Linked DNA regions of Lonchura striata. The protein of the gene in region 1 purifies or fractionates together with the protein of each later gene. This does not show direct contact. Links are inferred from orthologs where the notes say so. Each region holds a gene or a part of one and is shown on either strand. Other genes may lie near its edges.

Region 1 (11,754 bases):
TTACCGAGGTGCCTCAGCCGTTTGCTTGTGCGAGATCACCTCCCTGTGGCTAAACGGGAATATCGTGTGTGGCAACAGCTCTGAGAAAGCAGACACATCTGATTTAAAAGAATCACATCTGGCTGTTAAATACTGAGGGTTGAAAAGATTTTTTTTTTAATTTACTCAGTTTTCTACTTTGTTTTCATGTTGCTTCCCATGAAAACTCTGGGAGTGAAATTTCACCTAAGTCAGTGACTATATTAAAAAACATAAGAAAAATACCAACAGTAGTCAAAAGTGAGTGTTTCAATCTACAGTTTACAACTTACGTGGGTAGCAAGAATAAAAAGCAACTATTTCAAATATTTTAAAATAGTATTTATAAAGTAGTATAAGCAACCTGGGCTCATGAAAGCTCTCTCTGCCCATGGCAATGAGGTTAGAACTGGATGATCTTTAAGATCCCTACCAACCCAACACATTCTGTGATCCCATTATTATAAACTATTTAAACATTATGTCAGTCACAAGCCAATTTTATGATTCTTTTATAAAATTAATTTCTGATGTTATCAGAAATTCATTCTAATTTAGGCACTTTATTTTAGTGAACAGAAATCAAGTAAAAAGTAATCCATTTCACCAGCATGATGCCTGTTTAAAAAAATTCTCTCTGAAGGACAGTTTTAACAATAACTGTGTATTGTATTTTACTTTTAAAAAAACAGTTTTGGATGCTTAGTATTTATACTGAAAAAAGGAAGCATGTTTGAGTCGTTCCAAAAAGTAAAATCCAAACAGCATCTACTATAACCTTGGTTAGTTGAAAAAAAAAATTATACCCCACTTCAAACACCATACCCTTGAACATGACAGTTTGGTCTACAGCTTAACATATTTGAAATACTTCCCCCAATATGTCACAGTATTTTTTGATGTAATTACCAAAAATCATATCAAATTCTATCATAAAAAGACAACATCATTAAAAATTATTCAAATATGTTCTTATTAAACAAAGGACTTGGCTTCTGGCATTCTGTTTAGTAATTCTACATTATTTGAAAATAAATACCTTCCTGTTTTGGTCCTAATTGACAAGTTTATCATCTTAAGTATACACATATTGCTTTGAGTAGCATGTATAAAAGGAAGAAAGCTGTTTGTGGCTGATTTATCTGAAGAGGTATATTTTCATTCAGCCCTTGTGTGATTCCGAGCCAGCAACATTTTTTAGCAAAAAGCAAAGAGGCAAGGCAAGGATTCACAGCTGACAAACATCTCTGTGCCAGGACATGCTCTCTGAGCAACTCACTTCTTTTCAATCTGCAGTCCAAAGGAAAAGAATGAAGGGAGGAATGGATTAATTGAGGTTTTTGGGGATAACTCTGTTCAGTGGCAACAAATTTTCCTTCTGTCAAGACAAGAAAATTCAGTCTCGTGCACTTCTGACTATGTGGGTCTGAGTCCTAAGAAGTTGACAGCAATATGTCTTGAGCAGGGGTAGAACATGCTCTGCTTGCCTACAGCAGGCCAAGAGCCTTGCCAGGTAACAATGAAAATCTCTGTTCCTGCAAGGAAACAAGCTCTTCAGAAAGAGAAAAATCACTTCTAGCCTTTGAGAGGATGGATCCAACCTGAATCCAGCCAGCAGACAAACGAAGATGCCACATCCTTCACCAGCAAACTGCAAAGGTCCCAGAACAAAACCTGAGCCAGAAGGGGAGAAATATTGACTACTGAGTGTTAACACAATGCAACCTGGGCTTTTTAAAGGGCTTCAGATAACAGAAAGATGTGTCAACATCCTCTAAGATATCACAAAATTTTATGTAGAAGGGGCAAAAAACGACAATAGTGGAAGCTGCTGAAAAAATACTTATTTCCAGTTCTTCCTCATTGGTGGAAACTCTCCTGCTCTGCCCAGTCAGCTCTCCCAGCTGTGCCTTTGCTCTGAAGAGAAAGAAGCAGCTTTCACTAGCAACTTGGGTGAGTAACAAAAAAATTGAAATGGCACCTTCACACTTCACACAACTGAAATGGTAACTTCACCACTGCAGTGGTGAATCAGACTCTGGGAAGAAGTGGCACTTGCTCCCAAAGAGACTCAAAAGAAGAACAGAACACTGGGCACAGCAAAAAATCACAAGGTCCCCATTTCAGATGTGAGGTAGACTTGGTCTCATCCACATAAAATTATAGGTCATACCAGGAGATTTTTCTGGACTACGTGTCTAATCTCAAAGCCCTGGGAGGTGGAAAACTGACTACAATACGAATGAATGACGAGAAGTGATGGAACTCCAACTCTACTTATCCAAATGCTAGATCAGTGTTAAATGATATTTTTAACTCTCCCCAAGTGGAGTGAGTTCCACTAAACATATCCATAATACAGGAAAATTGCTGGAGCTGTATTTCTAAGACTCTGGAACCAAGCACTCTTCCTGAGAAGGGTAATAAAAACAAAACAGAACCCTCTTTTAGAAATTAACAATGACCCTGGCAAAAATCTTAATGAAGACCCTGACAGCAGCCTGAAAAGCAGGTGTTGGCTGCACTGGGGATTGCCAGCTTAGATCTCAGAGATCAACCCTGGGAATCCACAGGAAATGGGGGTCCTATTGATCTACACACACCAGGGAAACATGCAAAGATCTCAAGGTTTCTCAAAGCTGTTCAAGACTCCATCATTCTCACAACTGAATGGGTCAGAGGTTTTGAAAGTCTCTACTGCAATCTGCACTTATTGAGGAGCAGCAGACTCTGCTGTTAAAGCACACTTCAACAGTACCCAGGAAACTGCAACAGCTGATGGAAGTCTGGAGATGTACAAATCACACATTAGGCTTCTGTAAGAACAATATGAAAAAATATCTCTGGAAGCTGCCAGGACTCCTGTGAGCTTCACATGCCACACCAAGAGGCTGTATATAGCAAACAGCACCATTCTGAGAGTGAGGCTGCTTGTGTCCTTGTGATGTCCAACCTTTAGTGATTTGCATGCTCAAAAGCCTCCTTCCAGTCTGCCTTATTTCATGCTGCAGAGGTAGGAGGAGATTGGAGCAGCAAAAATCTCCACTTGACTTGTCCAGTTGTGGGGGCACATAATGGCTAGAGCCTGAATAAATATACAAATTATCTCATCACCTGCAAGAGAAATCTCCACTGTGGAGAAAGACTCCAGAGAATTCAAAAGCTGTCTCAGCTTCAGGTTCTGCCCTGGAGGACCCAGAGAATGCTGGACAGCCAGCAGAACATTTCAAGGAGTCTTAAAATCCCATGTTGATGCCATGAGCCTGCTCTGGATGGCCCTGACAGGGTCTCCTTGATGCCTGGCACAAGGAATGTAAGAAGGGAACAGTGAGAGGAATCTCAAGACAAGGAGGAAAAAACGAATTGAGGATTCTGAACGCTTAACACAACTGGAAACAGTCCCTGATGCCCTGCAACAGAGAACACTTCCAGATTTTATCCACTGCTTGTAACATGGAAGAATCTTCCCAAAAAGTGAATCACTGAGGCAGTAGGAAGATTTGTCTCAATATATTACATTGTCAGACACAGGCCTTGAGGCCCTACCTTGCTTTTCCTTAGCTGCCTGTTGGAAATTAATTTTCCATTTATTACTTGGTATTCTAGAAGAGACACACCCTCAGTAATCTGTCTCAGTGCTTGTTCCATGTCTTTTCAGGCAAACCCAATTCCAGATAAATTGTACAGCTCCAGGTAAACTACAGACCAGGGATGGAGCTGACTCCTATTTGGCCCTGATGGCATGTTGGGAATGGGTTTTTTTTTGAAAAAATAACGCACAGAGAAATCCAGCATTGAAAAAAATGGACTTTGGGGACAGCGATAAAAAGACTTTTATTACAGAATCTTTTCTTTTTTTATTAGTAAAGCATACAAACTAGACAGGCCAAATACAGTATTAACTCACTCTTCAGATTTTTACCCACTGCTATTTACCATTATTTTGTTGTTGGGTCTTTTTTTTTTGTGAAAGTCACCATTAGAAAAACAAAATGTTTTTTGGGGAAAACACTTTTTGTTCCTCATACAGCTTCCCTTACTGCCTGAACCATATATGTTTTTATCCACAGTAAAATATTTTTAAAGATTAATTTGACATGTCTGATTATTCCTAAGGCAGCCTGTAATTTTCTTCACTACAAACACATTAATTTACTGAAGCAGTCACTGAACAACACAGTTGAATCTGGAATAGCTCCATAAACTCTACAACTATTTCTGGAGCACAACAGTTTGTTCTAAGCAGTTCTGGCAGAAACTGCAAGAGCTTGTAAGATGGTGCTACTCACTTGATTCAATAGCATCCAGCTTCTGGAATGTCCCCAGGATATCTCCATTTACTATTTTGGGTAAGAAATCCCGCAGTTGCATAACTTCAGTTGTCAGCCTTTCCAAATCCCTCCTTCTGACTTTTACGAATTCCTCTTTGGTCTCAGCCTTCTGAAATAAAACAACAAAGCAAAAAAAAAAAAACCAAACCAACAACCAACCAAAGACACAGCTGCAGTCCTGTATATACAGTCCTATGACATTATTTCAGCAATTTGTAACTTTTTATAGAGAATTATCCAGCAATCAACCCCAAAGTCTCTGAGGTTGACCCTTTGACTGTTATCTTCATTTTTGCCACTGTGGCCTTAAGTAAATAGCATTACCTCTCTTCATGTGTTTCTTCACCCAAAATGTGTAAAATACATTTGGGAATGCTGCAAAAATTAACACTCACATTTTAAAATGTGAGCAGCATGCACCAAGCTGTTGTTTCACGACTGTCGTAAAGGACACAATTACTCAGCTTTTTAATTAATTCAAACATTTGCAAGATCCTCAGTTCTAAATTACAACAACTCTCTTGGAAGAAACTGTACCGTTTTCAAACCAATTTATCTTTTGTGAAGAGCAAAAATTATTTGCAACCATCTGCAACTCAATCTCACATAAAAAATTTAATCCCAAGGTAAGACAGAAATGTTTACTAGCTTCCTCTTCTGCCAAACTATAGCTATAGAATAATTTTCATTCAACATTCCAGCAGAATATGTGTTAAATCTTAAAATTACAGAGCAATTTCTGTACAAAAAACCCCATAAAGTCCAATTTCTGATGTATACATGTGCACTCTGCTAGATGTTTAAAAGGCGGATACACACACACCAAACAAAAAAGAAAGTTTTAATGTATTTTGACTAAAACATCAATCACTCAATATGCTTCCAGAAAGCAAGGTTAAATCTTAGCAGCGCTTTGCACTGCACTGAGAACAGTGCTGACAAAATGAGATGCTTTATGTATCACATTCCAGAGGGAAAAGGCTAACAAACCTAAATCTCATCTCCTAGAGGTTCAAAATGTGCCATCCCTGCAGTCCTCTCACGAGTAGACACACAAGACAAATGGAAGTCATCCTCTCCAACCATTCCCTACAGTTCTTTCTGCTTTCCTACTTCCTCACATTGAACATTTCCTTTCAGTTTTGCTTCCTACTCTATTTCTTTCTCAGCTGTATTTCAAATCCAGAGAGTTCTGGGACAGATCAGTGCCACCACTGCAGGTTCAGAGCTGTAATGAAGGTAGGGAAGAAAAATTTTGCTTTAATTTGAACTGCAAGCTTTAAGCTGCATCGAGGAAGTGCTTATGGCAAGGTTCATAGGCTAACTAGCACTACATAATTACATGACTCTAGAAAAATTCCACCCATCTAGGTCTCAAAAAAGCATGGAGCAAACACATGGGAAGAGGAGTCTTTAGAGGAATGCCATCTGCGTGTCAGCAACCACGAATGACAGAGAGAATTCAGTATTACTCAGACTTACAGAGCAAAATTTCGTACATAAAAATAGCTCTGTTCACTAACAGCTGAATTCAAGTAAAACAGCCTGTGAATCACTGGTGTTGAAATATAAAATATGCGGTAAGGAGAAAATTCTCCTTTGTAGTTCCCACTGTAAGCACAAGTCTTTGCAGCGCTGCAGCTACAGCAGGCAAGTTTTATTTTCTCTGTTTAAGCAGCTTCTCCACATCTCTCTGCACTACAAGAGTATGTTAAAGGCAAATACAGGGGAGAACAGGAGTTTTCTGTCCAGGTAACGGCAGGTGCCAGGAAGTAGGAAATTCGAGTTCTTTCACAGGGGTGAAGTCACCCAGCAATGCACCTGAGCTCATGCCCTGCCCGGTGTGAGCCCAGGGACGGGAATCTCCCTCCCCTGCCACTCCAGGGGCCGAACAGGGCAGAGCTCCCCAGCACGGACTCCCTGCCAGCCTTTCCCCACTCACTCCCCACCAGCCCAGGGCGCCTGTGGCTCCCCAGCCCCACCACGCTGCCCTCTCCCTGCGGCCCCGCCGTCGCCTCCTCAGCGCCCCGTAAGGCCACCACACAGCCCCCGCTGCTTCTGCTGCTCGAGGCACCCGCAGGGACCTCCGGCCGGGCCCGGCCTCTGAGGCAGCCCCGGGCCGCTCGCGATACCTGCGCGTCGCCAGCGAGGCCGGCGCTGCGCCACATCGCGACAGCGGCGACAGCGGCGACAGCGAGCGGCGACAGCGGCGACAGCGAGCGGCGACAGCGGGGCAGCGTGAGGGAGCGGAGCGCGGCGGCCACGCCCCTGTGGCCACGCCCCCTGTGGCCGCGCCCGCTCCGATTGGCTAGTCCCGTGTGGGGGCGTGGTCTGGTACTCAGGCTCCGCCCCCAGCCCCGCCCGGAGCGGCCGCGGGATAACACCGGGATAAAACATCGGGATGACACTGGGACAACACCGCGATAACGCTGGGGTAGAGGTGGGATAACACCGGGAGAACAACCGTGACAATGCCGGGACTACACCGGGTTGTGGAGCTGCAGCCCGGCCGTGCCGTGGTGCCGCTGGAGGGTGCAGGGAGCGACAGCAAGTTGGGAGGGAGGATTGATCTGCTGGAGGGCAGAGAGCCTCTGCAGGGGGATCTGGGCAGGCTGGATGGAAGGACCGAGTGGTGGGAGGTTCAGCAAGGCCAACTGCCGGGTCCTGCACTTGGGTCACAACAAGCCCCTGCAGCTCCAGGCTGGGGAAAGAGAGTCTGGAAAGCTGCACGGAGGAAAAGGAGCTGGGGTGCTGGTCAGCAGAGGCCGAACATGAGCCAGGTGTGCCCAGGTGGCCAATAAGGCCAATGGCACCTGGCTTGTGTCAGCAATGGTGTGGCCAGCGGAACCAGGGCAATGATTGTGTAGGGCACATCTCAGGTGCTGTGTCCCGTTCTGGGTCCCTCCGTTCGGGAAGGACGCGGCACCACTGCCGTGGGTGATCGGCCACAGGCTGGACTCGATGACCTCAGAGTTCTTTTCCAGCCGTGATGATCTGCGGGCGCTGCGGGCGGTGGGGATCCCGCGGGTGCCTCCCGTGGGTGAGCCAGGTGCCGGCCAGCCCCGAACTCCGCGGCGCTGCCGTCCCTGCGCTCCGCCTTCCCCGCGGTGACGGCACAGCCCGGCGCCGCTGACGGCATCGGGCGGAGCGCGGCGCGGGCGGGCCGGGCCGGGACACGGACACGGGCCGGGACACGCAGGGACACGGGCAGGCCGGGCCATGGCTCCCGCGGCCGTGCAGCCGCCCGAGGTGCAGTTCGCGCAGCGCTTGGCCGCCAACGAGAAGCGCATCCGAGACCGCGCCCTCAAAAAGCTGCGGGGCTACATCGGCGTGCGGAGCCAGCGCCCCGGCGGTACGGACCGGACCGGGCCGGGGCGGCGGGCAGGGACCGGGGGAGGGACGGGGACGGGTCCCGGTGCCGGTGCCGTGGCGGGGGGAGCGGCGGCCCCGGCGGACGGACGGCACGGGGAGGGAAGGAAACAGCACGTGTGCGCCCTGAGCCCGGCACGCCTCCTCGGGCTTTTTTTTTTTTTTTTTTTTCTCTTTGTTGGGTTTTTTAGGGCTTTGTTGTTGTTTTTTTTTGACTTTACCAATTTTTCCCATTTTTGCCTTTTTTTTTTTTTTTTTTTTTTTTCGCCCTGTATACGCACGTGTTGCCCCGGTGCTGCCGCAAGCGCAGCCCCAGCAGCACCCGGGAGCCGAGGCGCTCTGGATCCTCGCTCGGGAAGTGTCTCCGGGCACTGGAGGAGCTCGGGAAGGATCAGCTTGGATCGAGGGAGGGTTTTGCTGGCAACATTAACAAATCCGGGATGGGAGCAGGGTGGCTCGTGTGCTCTCGTTCCCAAGGAACAGGGGTGTAAATGCACTGAAGTGATCCAGGCTGGAAACATCCCGGTATATGCTGCATAAAGTTTCATCTTCTGTTGTTTCTGTGAGCTGATGTCTGTCTGTTTCCGTGACTGATATTCAGGAGCATCGGAGGGAATCGAGGAAAGCTACATGCTTCAGCACTTGTGTAATTGCAGCTGGTTCTGTGTAACACATTTAGGTTACTTGTTACCTTCACTTCATGCTAACGAAAGCATTTTTCTTCGTTTTTCCAAAAATTCTACTTGGAGCTATATATTGGCACCTTAGAACTAAGAGTTCAGTGGTGTCCTTGGAGTCTGTTTGAGGCTGGCAAGGCCAGTCTGAAGGTCCGTGTACCTGAAAATGCCTCGGGTGCACAGTTTCCACATGGATGTGTATTATTCCTATACCTCATATTACATATAATGTAATGTATAATCTCTATTTTATGTTTCTTTTCTATAAAACATATATTTTATAAGCTGCATTCTACAGTATTCTATTACCATATATTCTAATTATTTATTATTGCATTTTACAAGTATATTTTATATATTAGTATATATTATATATGTATGGCTTTGGGGAACCAGCCTAGAGCTGGCCTCAGGAGCTAATCTGGAGTGCTGGCTGGACCTCCATGACTTCCTTGAAAAGACTGTAGAGAGAATATTGCTTCTTGTCTTTCCAAGTAGTATTTGACCCATTAGCCACATCTGACAGAGGGTAGGACACCTAGAACAGTCTTACAGGGTCAGGCCAGGGAGCCAAACAGGCATTATCCCATTCCTGGCAGTTAACATAGATTTAGGGATTTCCTGGGCACTAGGACAGTGTACATCATGTATCTCCCAAGAACATTCTATTTTTTAGCTCTGGAGACTTTCTAAGGGGGAACAGGTTCAGGCACTGCTTTAGAGCATCATGAAAGCATCACAGGGAAATTGCTCAGTTGGGCTGTGAACCTTTTGCATGTTACAATCAGCACACCATGGGATGCAAATGAGTAGGAAACAAGGGTGACTAATTTCCAGAGCTCTTAGATTTACTTGCTGTTAGGTGGTATTGAAACGAAGATTAAGTACTTCGGGCTTGGAGAAAAAGCATGTTCAGGAGAGAGGGTTTTTTTACAGTTAATTTATTAATTAGCAGTCTTGTACCCATCTCCAGTGTTCTGAGAGGGATTCACACATCAGGTAACCCAGGTAGGATGCCCTGACCTGAGGAGTTGAGAATGTGCTGACTTCTGGCAGAAGTGATGGAATTCACCTGATGTTCAGGGCTCTCAGGTGTTTATTAGGTGGACAGGACTGCTCTGTTGGTCTGTGCTAAGGCTGAGGGAGCTTCTTCACAGAGCCAGAGCTCTTAATTTTCAAGAAATTAAGCTCTGTGGAAGGCATTGAACTAACCAAATTAATTGAAGAAAGAACAGTAAACAGAAATAACTTCCAGTAAAAGAGGGCAGATTGCTGGGTGGGTTTCCTGTCTGACAGAGCTGTGCTGACTTGTGCCTGGATCTGTAAAGGATTTCTGTAATTTCCACTGAAATATCCCTGTGTGGATCTGGTCCATTGCAATTATCTAGAAAAGGAAAAATGGTAACAAATTCAATTATAACAGTGTCAAAGCAGCCAAACTCCCAGACAGAGAGGCTGACAAGGCTTGCAGTAAAGTAGCTCTGAGTGGTTGTAATGTGTTAATCCCAGCTCCCACAGTACACAGAACAGAGTTACTGTGCAGAGGGACAGTTGAAATTCAAGCCCTAAAGCCACAATCTTTCTCAGGATAGGTTCAAGGTATAGAAGGCCTTCAGTTCTGGGCACTGTGGTTGTTAATACAATGCATTCGGGTTTTAAAATAACTTTAATGGTTATTATTTGCCAGCTGTGGCTGGGGAACAGCACATAAAGCTGAACAGAAAACACTATATTGAAACTACTCTTTTGAGACATTAGGATAAGAAAATTGCTGTAATTTTTGGTCAGAGTCTTATGTCAAATTGGCACAGGACTGCCTAGGACGCTTTAAAAAGCCCTGTGTGTATGAAAAGCAACCTCATAAAAGTGTGTGTTTTCTTCCCTCAGAGCACAGGAACAGGCTGTTCAGGGCAGTGGTGGAGTTAATGTCCCTGGAGGGATTTAAAAGATGTGTAGATGTGGCACTTGGGGATAGGGTTTAGTGGTGGCCTTGGCAGTGATTATCTGAGAGGTCTTTTCCAACCTGAATAATTCTGTGATACAATTCTGGGAACTCCTGAGCCACATCTATAGGTAGCAGGTGATGCCTCTGTCTGATACTTCTGTAGGGTTCATGCTGCCAGTAAGGTTGAAACTGCTTCTTACCACTCAGTATGTCACATATAATTCAGTTAAGAAATGTTATTAATTTTAATATTTCAATAAATATTAATTCCGTTAATAAATTTGTTTCATATTTTATCGTAACAGTATTGTCAAATCTAAATTTAATGCTTAATATTACTGGACACATTGCTTCCTACATAGCATTTTGCCTATTTTCTCACTTCTTTTCTTTTCAACCAAGCAGGACTAATCTGTGTGCAGGTGTTTTTGTCCTTTGGTCCAAAGGAAGGTGCACAATTTAGATCTTGCACTGGGTTTCAGACTTTTTGACTTTTTTTGAGACAATGATCTTTTTGGAGCAAATTTGAGCTTACTGAAGATGATGACCTTTTCAAAGTGTTTTTTTTATGGGATTGCTTGGGAATATTTAATAGGCCATAGTTTGAAAATAACTGTAGTAGGTCATTGTAGCTGCCTTGTAACAATGTACTGTTAAAATTTTACTTCACATAAATTTAGCCGATGTAATGAAAAATCTAGTTCTTGAGCAGGTATTAGTATTTCCATGTAGTACTTTACTTCTGGAATGTGAAAATATTTTTTTGCTGTTAAAATTCAGGTTTTACTACATCCCAAGACTAACTGTATCAGAAAACCTTTTGTTATAGTTGCTCAAGCTCTTTGACTATAAAGTTTAATGTAGAAATAAATGTGCTGATTCCTAGAAGTTCATTCTATCAAAACAAACCTCTAGGAAGGAGTAAAATTATTGGTAGAGTGAGACTTGTTAAAAACAGCAAAATAAAAAATATCATGTTTCTTGTAAAACTATTTCTGATACTCTCATTAAAAACTTCTTTCAGGCTTGGTGTGAAAAATATGCCAGAGGCATTTATCAGAATTACCTCAGTATTCATCTTCCCTGTGATTGCTTTGAAATCTTTGTTGCTTCAGTACAAGGTAGAACAGTTTCTATCACTGTTCTATGCCAAATTGCCTTCCAATTAATGTGCTTACAGTAGCAACCCAGAGAAAATAACTAAAACAAAGAAGAAAGCAGGGAATAGGGGGAGCTGAATGAAAATATTTTGGTGGAAATGAGTGGTTTTTTTATTTAATTCAGACTTGTTCTGTACCATAGGTGGCTTCAGTCAGGAAGAACTGCTGAAAATATGGAAGGGCCTTTTCTATTGTATGTGGATGCAAGATAAACCTCTGCTTCAGGTACAGTAACTGGGTTTGTATTTGCTTGA
Region 2 (10,692 bases), on another chromosome or scaffold:
AGTCTTGCAACACACAGCTGGTGGATTATAAATTCATCATTTGCATACTTTGAAATATTTTAATGAGCTACTTATATATGGCCATACCTGCTGCTGGAACTGCTGGAGAAAGAACATGAATTTCACACTGAGGGCTCCTCTGACAACAGATTATAGGAAAAAATCACAAGCCAAATATTAGCCCCTAACAAGACAGACAAATTACATTTATATTTATATAGGACTAACAATAAAAGGCCTGTAGAAGGTTACCAGAGCTCTGCTTCATATAGCACAGATTATGATTAATTACAGATTCAAACGTTTGTTGCAAGAGATCAGAGCCTTTTGCCCTTAGGAGGGAAAAAGATGAATGTAATTTCTTCTTCTGACACTCCTCCCTCTTTCCACTGTGGCACAGAAACACCACAATACTCATCTGTCTTCATTTATCTTAAGTGCCCAGGGAAAAGGAACAAAGGTTGAACTACAGAGCTGCAGCTCCCACTTGTGCAGCTCCAGCTGACTTGGTGGAACAAACCATAAAACTCACAGGTTTGGGGTTTATGCTGAGTCCCAGGAGCACACATCCCTCTGGGTGTGAGAAAAGCTGTGGATTCAGGGCTGGGCCTGCTGTGTGCTCGTGGGTGTCAGGAACAGGACTGCCAATCAAGGGTGTAAAAATGACAGGGCACACAGGGAGAGGTCAGGCACTGATCCGGAAGGATGGAGAAGATAATTGGATCTTATCTGCATCTGCTCTGAGCAACCGCTGCCAGCCTGCTTGGACTGTGGGGGAGATGGGGTTCACCCCTGTGTCACTGTTTCACAGCCAATTCTTGTGTTCCTGGATTTCCAACAGACCGAAAGAGAATAAGACATGACAAGGGTGAGGCTATCCTAATTACAGCCAAGGCTGGTCAGAGCGGTCCCTAAATGGCCTTGGAACAGGGGGAGGTTTTGCCATTCACCTTCTGGGCTCCAGGTTTGTCCTAATCCAGGACCAAGGTGGAAGAAAGCTAGAAGAAGAACAAACAATGTGAAAAACACATCACTGATTATGGGGGACAAACACTGAAAAAAGAACAGGGGATGTGAGAAGGAAATATTTGCAAATGGCTTGAGAGGGCAGGTGTGGTTTGAGGGAGGAAGGTGTGGTACCAAGACTCTGGATTCCTTCTGAAGGATGGAAATGGAAAAACAAAACAAAAGGACGAGATCCTAACATGAATCCTCGCTTCCTTTCCTTGTGGCCTCAGCAAATCTCACTCTGCTGCCACCTGCCAGGGGCCTTGAGATGTTCCACCAGAGACAGCCATCACATTATCAGGGCCCCTGAAGCCTGAAAGACACATCAAACAGCCAGTGCTGGCGTATCAGCATCCCGTGGGCCATGGGACTCCTCATCCCGTGTGTCACATCCTCTGCGTATTCCAAAGAGCACACGGCGCCCAGGCACTGATGTTTGGAGAAAGGAGCTCTGGCTGTGGAGCTGCTCTGGGGGCTGTGCTGGCCCAGCCCCAGGGAAGTGCCTGTGCTGAGATTCCGCTGGATCTGCTCACACACGAGCAGGAAGCAGGGAACTGTGTCTCCTTTTCCCATCTCGACACTCCCTGACCCAGCAAATGCATTCCTAGTACTGTTCGTCCCTTTCCTGATCTGTCTCTAGTCTTGTTTTGTTGCTGACTCGTCTGGGGATTTTTCTAACCTGACTTTGCTTTTGGGAGAGGGTTTGTTGGGTGGTCTCATTACAGGGGAACCAATTCCCTCATGTAATTTTGTTTGCCACCACCCGTGGTCTCAGGGTGGGCAGAGCCAAAGCCCAGCTCTCTGTGTGCACAAAACCCAGGCTGGAAGCACAGGCCTGTGATCATTCCTGCTCTGTAAGGTCCTGAGCTGAACGGGCTGCATTTCATCCACCTCCAGGGCACAGCAACGGGATGTTCTCCCCAGAAAAGGTGCTGATGTAAACACCAGCTGAGGGCTCAGAGCTCAGAGGTTGCATGGATGGCACTTTTGCCATCAAGAATTTATTTTTCCCTGTTGGAACAGGGAAAGAAATTCTTTATACTGAGAGGCAGAGATGTTGAAATGAGCATCATCACCCACGAGAGAGCAACTTTTATGAGCTATGAAAACAGCACTGAAGGGCAGATATTTGGAGAAAGACAGCTCCTCAGGGCTCTGGTCCTGAAGGGCATCCATCTGCAGAGAAGCCCTTAAAACCAGGTTGAGTTTTCCTCTTTTATCCTTGGACATTACTCCAGGCTTTCACACTGCCTTCACCAGGCACAGAATGGTTTAGCTGCACCTGTCTAATGGGGTTGCTTCCAGTGGGTTTTACAGGCAGCTCCATAGGTGCCAGCACAGACAATTCCAGGGGAATGCCCCTATCAATGGTTTTTAAATTTGTGCCAAGGAGTCATTTCCCGAGGAGAACAGGAGTAGAAAATAACAGAATGCAATTATGGTGGGAAGAGGAGCTTTGGGACTAGGCGTTACAACCTGCAGTTATCCCAAAGGAGACACAAATTACTTAAATAATGGGGTTTTCTACATCTTAAGTTTTTGATAGAATTCATCCTTAGTTCTGTGTATGTCCAGTCAGTGCAATGGTGTTGCTGCCCAGAGGAGAGGCTCAGAGACACTGTGACACTTTAGTAATAAACAGTTTTCCCATTTACCAGTTTCTGAGAAAGCTCTAGTGCTTCAGAGCTTGTTCTCCAACAGAACAGCCAAATATGGAAAATCCTGACTGTGAGCTACATCCCAACAGTTCCCTGAGAGCTTTAGGTTCAGGGACAAAATAGAACATATCTCGTACTGTTCCTCTCTGCGTTGGGCTATTCAGGACTTAGACAAGGCTTTTTCAATTTTCTACATAGAGATGTGTAATGACTAAATTTACAAGTCACAATACCTAGATATTGTAGGAAAAAAAAAATAATATAGCAACTTTTAAATTAGTTGCTGTAATTGCACACAGAAAACACCCCACAAATTTGTGAAATCATTCAAGCCTTTTCCACTTTAACAGGTCACTCACTGCCTGTTGCACTCGTGCATCAAGCTTGTATTAAATGCAAAACACCCGAGACTTGAGAGATTCTCCCAGTTCTGTATCTCAAATCAGCAGTTGCTTTGTTACAGATTCACTCAGGGCAACACCCTGGAAAGGGAAGGCAGTGGTGGTGCCCTGGGCTGTCACAGGCAGGGATTTTCCAGCATGGAAGCATGAGAACGCAAGATGCTTTTAAAATAGCTGGCAAAAATCCTGGAGTAGGACTAAATTTTGATTATGTAGTATGCAACATAAAAATGTTATCTGCATTTGAATAGAAATGCTTATATAAAATTGAAATATTTAATGTAATACAATATAATAATTAGATATGCAGAAGTTTGTCTCAAGTATACAAATCATAGTGTACGCTACAAATACTTTGAATGTAAAGCCCAGCAGACAGTAAGAGTGCATTTATCCGCATATTAAGAGGATTTTTATCAAGAGATTGGGAGAATTTTCCTAATTCAGAACATTAAAGGGAAGTCAGGACACAGGACCTGGTGACTCCAGGCAGATATTTGGGATTCTCCTGTGCAGCTCTGCCTGGAAGGGACGCCGTATACAAAGCCCTTGGGGCAACCTGGGCTTTCAGGAAGCTGTGACAGGGCTCTGTGGGATGGATCCTGGGGCTCTCTTGGGCTTTCCTTCTAGGCTGATTCTGTCTCTGAAGGAGAACCAGTGCCTCAGAATGCTGGAAGAACAGAACCTGGCACTGAAAAATCGTGTGTCTCAGTTATTTTCTGCTCTTAAGCAGGCTGGGCAGCTCTGTTCTGAGCATAGAAGGCAAATGCAGGAGCTCAATACCCAGGTAAGCTGTGCAGTGGCATCCTCTTCTCCAGGGACACACAACAGCACCTTTGGCTTGGAGGCCCCAAGCTCTTTCCCCTCCCGGCAGCATCCACAGCTGCCGTGTTCTGCCCGGGGCTGCTGCTGCACCCTGAGGCCCAGGCTGGATCTGCTGTCTGCTGCCGAAGTTTTGCACCGTTCTCTCCCGGCTCCCAGCAGGAAATCTGGGAGGGGAAGCAGCAGCAGCCTCCTCTGGAGCTCCTCTGTCCCTCCATGAGCAGTGTTGTCCCAGACAGAGTTGGTGCCTGTGCTGGCACTGAGCAATGTGGGGACACAGAGGTGGCTGTGGCAGGCTGGGCAGGGCACTTCCAGCGCAGCCATCTCAGCCAGCTGCTGTTCAGAGCTGCAGCCTCAAGGATGCCCACTGCCTCCCTTTCCCTCTTTTCTCTACATTTGTCTCCATTGGAATCCTTGCTTCCGTTCATTCTGGTTTTGGCATGGCTTTTGCCTGAAATAATTTCTCTTTCATTCCTCTCCCTGCGAGGAGCAGCCCTGTCCCTGAGGCTCTGTGCATCCATCTTCCAGATGCAGGCCATGCTGCTGGCAGAGATAGAGAAGACAACTCAGCAGGCAACTGAAGAGAAGGAGCTGCTGGAATCTGAGGTGTCCGAGCTGTGTGTGAGGCTCCAGAGCTCTGAGGAAAGAGCAGAGGCCATGGCCACACAGTGTAAGGCCATGGAGCTGGGGCTGAGGAAGACACAGGCTCAGAGGGACAATCTCAGAGCCCAAAATCAGGAGCTCATGAAACAGCTGGAGGAACTTGAGCAAGGTACAGCTTCTCCTCCCCCAGCCACTGCCCCATCCTGTCCCACCTGCAGGGATTTCGCTGATGCCTCGCAGAGGAAAAGTGCTCAGAGATGGCAGAGGGGAAAAACAACCAGCAGGAAATTTATCCATCCAAGTGCCAGTGAAAGCTTTTTCTTGAGAAAGATGCTGTGGCTTTCAGAGCCATCTGGCTGTGCTAGGGCTGCTCCTGGGCTGGAGTCTTTCATGGGCCGTGTCTCTGTTAAGGAGCTGTAGCTGGGTGCCTCAGCTCGATTCCCCCAAACTCCAGGCCCTGCCAGAGCCTCCAGGGCCATTGGCCTCTGAGCAGGGCTGCACAGGCATCCCCTCTCCTTTGTCCCTCCTGGATTGCTCACTCTGCACAAGGCCAAGAGCAAACACACATTCCTAGCCCTCTGAACCTTGCTCCTTTCATTCCTGCTTTTCTCTCTGCCTGGAAGTTTCCTTCATTTCTGTCAGCTTTGGAGCCCTTGTATGCTTAGGGCCTGGCAAACACCGGCAGGCAGAGAAGACAGTGCTGTTGTCTCTGCAGGATGCACATCAGTGTGACTTTGCTTTGCTTGTCCTCTTCCCCTTCTCCTTCCCCTTCCCTGCTGCAGATTGGTGGAACGCAGCAGTCCAGCAGATTTCTCGAGAAGCTGCCCTGGAGAAAGAGGCCACTGAAAGACAGGAAGAGGCTGTGACTCTTCGTCAGGAGGTGGCATCTCTGAAGAGGAAATTGGAGAACCTGGAGAAGGAAAGGAAGGATGTGCTGGTGAGATTGGCAGATGTCACAGAGGGCCAATTCCTAGCTTGCTTTGAAACTTGTTTTAATAGTTCTAAGAAGCAGATTTTTCCAGTTGAACTTTTCCAATTGAATTCTTTTGAATAAGGAGGAGATGTTGTAGTCATGCCAAAGCCAGTTAATGCTGAGGCTGCTGATTTTCCTCCATGCTGGGCTTCTGTTTCCTAGAAGCTTTAGTTTTCAATATGCACAATCTCTCTATGGACATTGCATGGTTTGGGGAATTCCTTGTGTTCAAACCCATGTCCAGATTCCTAAATATCTGCAGGGGAAGGAGGGGTGAGCTGACCAAGTTTGCTGTTAATAGAAAGGTGTTTGGCCTTGGCCATCTGAGAGCAGCCAGTGGGGAGAGAAGAGAGGAAAGCCAAGTGCTGATCCACACCAGGACGTGTGCCTGCAAGGGAGAACTCGTCCTGAGTGGCAGCAGAGAATGACAGACTGATCTGGCCATTGCTGCTCCAAGAGAGGGCAGTGGGGCTCTCGGGGATGGAGCCATGGAAACTCTATATGGGAGAGGTGGAACACCACTCCTGTCAGCCCAGCCCCAGGGAAGGAAATGCTGGGGGTGTTTGCTCTTGCCTTCCTCCCTGATGGAGAGCACGTCCTTGTGGCACTGCCTAAATCCTGCTTAGCATGGACTTGAAATCCTGGCTGCAGTTCTGGCAGCTCCTGCCCAAAGGAGCACTGGAACTGAGCTGCAAGAGGTCGGGGAAGGGCAGAAAGGAAGCTGGGACAGGCTGAGCGAGCTGGGCAAGAGCAGCATCAAGGGGGGAACCAGCAAAGGTCTGCAGCATGCCGAGGGGCAGAGAGAGAAGGGCAGCCTGTGCCTGCCCCTGCAGCAGGAGTGTGGCCGCGGGGCTCTGGGGCACTGACGCCTGAGGCGCCGCGAGCTGGCAGCGCATGCGCAGAACCGCGCGCAGGTCCTGCGCACCCGCTGCACCCGCCCGCGCTCCCGCGCGCGCGCGCGCGCACACACAGCGCTCAACCAGCGCCCCCCGAGCACGCGCGGCGGCGCGGTGACGTCGTGCGTGCCCCGCCTCCTGCTATAAAAGCGGCGGCGGCTGGCGGGCGCCATTGTGGTGCGCCAGGCCCGGCCGTGCGGAGCGGGCCCGCAGCGCCTCCACCCCTCACGCCGGCAGCGCTCTCGCTCCTTCTCTCTCTTTCTCTCTTTGTCTCTTTTCTTTTCCCTTCCTCTTCCTCCTCCTCTCCTTTCCTCTCCCTCCCCTCCTCTCCCCCACCGCCGCGGACATGCCGCGCGTCTACATCGGCCGCCTGAGCTACCACGTCCGGGAGAAGGACATCCAGCGCTTCTTCAGCGGCTACGGCCGCCTGCTCGAGGTCGATCTCAAAAACGGGTGAGCGCCGTTGGTCCGTCCGCCCCTGCCGAGGCCCCGGGCCGGCCGGGCCCGTCCATGTCGCGGCCGCTGCCGCGTGGCGCCGGCGCAAGATGGCGGCGGGGGGGAGCGGAGCGGAGCGGCCGCGGCTCGCAGCGGGCACCGGGGCGCGGTGCGCCCGCCGCCTGACCCGGCCTTTCTCCTCTGCCCAGCTACGGCTTCGTGGAGTTCGAGGACTCCCGCGACGCCGACGATGCCGTGTACGAGCTGAACGGGAAGGACCTGTGCGGGGAGCGGGTTATCGTGGAGCACGCCCGCGGCCCCCGCCGCGACAGGGACGGCTACAGTTACAGCAGCCGCAGTGAGTCCGGGCCCGGCCCTCCCCGAGGGGCTCGGGGCGGCGGCGGGCAGGGCCGGGGGCGGGCAGGGCTCGGCTGGCACCGCGCCCCGGGGCTGGGTGGGGGAGGTCGTTAGCGGGGGGTACCCGGTGCACCGCTGGGGCTGCAGCGTTTTCCTCGGCACCAGCGGTGCCCTCGGGTATCCCGGAGCAGTTGTGGCTGCCAAATCGCGGCCTTCTAGAAAGGGTTTGCTCTGCTAATTAACGGCTCCAGTATTCCTGGGAGCATTTAGATGTGACAGCGATGTTGCATCAGTAATGTTACTGTATAAATTATCGTTGTGTAGCGGGGGCCCAGCTGTGAGCTTTGACGTGATTCATTCAGTTGGATATATGGGAGGGGCGGGGGGAGGTTTTGGAGCAGGAATCTGTTGCTCTGAAGGGGGGGCGGGTATTGTAAATATTTCTGTGCTCAGCTCGCTTGTGTAGCTTCTTGAGCCGAGCTGTGTAGAGCTTGAATGGCCTAGTACTGTAACTAAAAGTACTAAGGTTGATTTTTCGTTGGTGTTTGGAATCGTGGTGTTGGGGGGGGTGGGTTTTTGTCTTTTTAAAAAAATCAAATGTATGTTGTTTTAAAATTGTTGCATGTTCAATTCAAACTTTTTAACAAGTCCTTGATGTTTCAATTTAAAAGTGACCAGTGGGGCTGAGGCTGTGTCCACTGAGGCTAAGATGACTGCCTTTCCTGGCCATGGCTTTTCCATACATTGTGTGACCCTTGCCCTATGACCCTTTGGCTGACCTTACCGGAAGCCATGACGACAGCAGCCTTTTGCCATTAGACGCAGGGTGATGGTGAGGATTCCAAGGGTTAGACAAAACTGGTTAAACTGAACTAGGTGACTGTTACCTTGCGTGTTTTGTGGCCAATCCACCACCAAAAACCTCATACTGTGATGTAAGTACTTAGTGTAACTAGTAAACGTTTTTGTAAAATGTAGAAATGCATGTAATCAGTTAAGTTTTATATTTTACAATGTTCTGTAAAATAAAACTTAGCAAGGTGAATCTAATAAGGAGCAGTCACTCTCTAACAGATCTTAGGAGCACAGACTTGTAGGATGTTAGTCTGTTTGATTTGCCATTAATATAGATCATGGCAAAATTGCAAAGTTTATTGGAGGCTTAGCGAAATAAAGTCCTACTCCAGTAAATATGACTGTTAAACTAACTTTTTCAGAACATTGAGCTTCCTTCGTGCTAGGAGACAACCTAACTTTGTTTCTTTGTACAATCAAGGTGGGGGTGGTGGCGGATATAGCAGTCGGAGACAGTCGGGACGAGATAAATACGGACCGCCCGTTCGTACAGAGTTCAGGCTGATTGTTGAGAACCTTTCCAGTCGCTGTAGTTGGCAGGATTTAAAAGTAGGTATTGATGTTCCGTGTGAAGTCTGTTGTGCATATCAGGAAGCAATGACTTCCTTTATTAGCAATGTTGATTTTGTTGCAGTAGAATAATTTGAAAGTGTTTGTGCACATTGCGTGCTGCGGGCACAGCTCCCCGTTCTGTAGCTGCCCTGTGCTCCCTGCAGGATTTCATGAGGCAGGCTGGGGAGGTGACCTATGCAGATGCCCACAAAGAACGTACAAATGAAGGAGTGATCGAGTTCCGGTCATACTCTGACATGAAGCGCGCCCTGGACAAGCTGGATGGCACAGAGATAAATGGCAGGAAGATCAGGCTGGTGGAGGACAAGCCACGCTCCAGCCACAGGAGATCCTACTCTGGCAGCAGGTCCAGGTAACTCGGGGGACACGCTGGTCACTGCAGCAAAAGTGGTTACAATCAGCCTGGGGATGGGTGCCCTACCTGCAGCAGTTACCTTGAGCTCATGGCTTAGGAGTAGGAGGAGGCCTCAGTGTAGAAGGAAATATTTTGCATCATATGGCAGAGCCAGGTTTGAGCAGTTTTTCCACATGTGAAACTTCAGATGTGATTCACTAACAGTATGTTGAATCTACCCTGGTAGGACCACCCTTGCTCTTGAGAAGTTCTGTAGCAGCTTTTCTCTGTTAGATTATGCTGCTAGATAGCACAGTGTATTAAGTGCAATCAGGAAGATTTTCCAGAGAAACTGTGGCTGTCCCTTGATCCCTGGAAGTGACCAAGGCCAGGTTGGACAGGGCTTGGAGCAACCTGGTGTAGGAAATAGATTTGTAGAGAATTTTTAAAGTTTAATAGAAGGTTTATATAATATGTATGTAATCACCTGGGGTAGTGGAAGGTGTCCCTGCCCACGGCAGGGGGTGGAACAAGGTGATGTTTAAGATCCGTTCCATCATACACTTAAAGATGTTGGGCACAACCAGGCCAAGAGAAAGGGAATGACATTTTAAATGTCTGCAGGTCACGATCCAGGAGACGGTCTAGAAGCAGAAGTCGGAGGAGTCGGAGCAGCCGCAGCAGATCCCGTAGTGTCTCCAAAAGCCGTTCCCGGTAAGTGCCTCAGTGTTAGCGCTGCCAGTGCAGGAGCTCCCTCACTGACAGGTGTTTACAGCTGCTGGGAGTGCAGTGCAGGCCATGCAGAATAAACTCTCTCTCTCTTTGAAAGATCTAAATCCAGGTCACGAAGCAAAGACCGCTCCCGTTCCCGATCAAAAAGCAGGAAGTCCAGATCAAAGAGCAAATCCAAACCCAAGTCTGACAGGGGTTCACGCTCGCACAGCAGATCCAAGGAGAAGTCTGAGAAGTCCCGGTCCAGATCCAGGTCCAGGTCTCGATCTCCCAAAGAAAATGGTAAAGGGGATGCTAAGTCTAAGTCCAGGTCCAGGAGCAGGTCTCGCTCCAACTCGCCACAGCAGCAGCCGTCTGCCAAGGCTCGCTCCGAGTCGCCGCCCAAAAGAGCCACGTCCAGATCGCGCTCCAGGTCTCGCTCAAAGTCCCGCTCACGATCAAGATCCAGTTCAAGAGATTAGGACTACAACTCTCCTCTCACCTTGCACACTTACGGAACATTTTCCTACCTGTCAGGCCATTAGTGTTATGTTAGTACTTCAGAAGTTGGGTATTTCGCTTGCAGGAGTGAATGGCCTAAGAACTAAGGCATAAAGGTTTAATTTGTATCCAAGATTTGACAATACCAGGTGGAATGGTGGTACAAAGCAAGAAGAGTCCCCATTTTGTAGAAATTGAGCTGAAAGTTTGATTTTATAGCATTTCTGCAGGAGTAACTTAACTACTCTTCAATGCAAAGTGGTTTTTATATTAAAAATAAACTGAATATAAACAGGCTTAAATATGGGCTTTTTGAAAGTATCCTTTTTTCCTATTTTTTTTCATGGCATTAGAACTATGGGTGTCATTAGTTTCATAGGTTTCAGCTTGCTGCCAAAGGCAGGATTGCCTTGCTGGACAGGTTGCACAGTCTATCTTAATTTTGGAAGCAGTCAGCAAACTGTATAAAACAGTAACAGTACTAGGAAGATTTTAGACCAGCAATAAATTCAAGTTGGAGGACTTAGGTTGACTTAGGTTGTACCTTGACTTGCCAAAAGAACAT

What was found.
Region 2: the proteins of RRP1B (region 1) and SRSF6 purify together in Homo sapiens (affinity purification with mass spectrometry; 3 studies listed by BioGRID and IntAct, with this or other methods). This does not show direct contact. The link is inferred for Lonchura striata from reciprocal best matches to the Homo sapiens genes RRP1B and SRSF6.

Annotation. Positions count from the first base shown.
Region 1 is NC_134604.1:111,745,743-111,757,496, reverse strand, and holds the start of RRP1B (ribosomal RNA processing protein 1 homolog B), read left to right. Parts: upstream 1-7,488; 5' UTR 7,489-7,568; coding exon 7,569-7,701; intron 7,702-11,624; coding exon 11,625-11,725; intron 11,726-11,754. Other genes in the region: HSF2BP (heat shock factor 2-binding protein), read right to left, coding at 4,308-4,458, 6,482-6,517. UniProt on the Homo sapiens protein: Positively regulates DNA damage-induced apoptosis by acting as a transcriptional coactivator of proapoptotic target genes of the transcriptional activator E2F1.
Region 2 is NC_134619.1:13,767,899-13,778,590, reverse strand, and holds SRSF6 (serine/arginine-rich splicing factor 6), read left to right. Parts: upstream 1-6,526; 5' UTR 6,527-6,707; coding exon 6,708-6,814; intron 6,815-7,005; coding exon 7,006-7,154; intron 7,155-8,429; coding exon 8,430-8,557; intron 8,558-8,724; coding exon 8,725-8,933; intron 8,934-9,539; coding exon 9,540-9,629; intron 9,630-9,744; coding exon 9,745-10,108; 3' UTR 10,109-10,233; downstream 10,234-10,692. UniProt on the Homo sapiens protein: Plays a role in constitutive splicing and modulates the selection of alternative splice sites. Plays a role in the alternative splicing of MAPT/Tau exon 10. Binds to alternative exons of TNC pre-mRNA and promotes the expression of alternatively spliced TNC.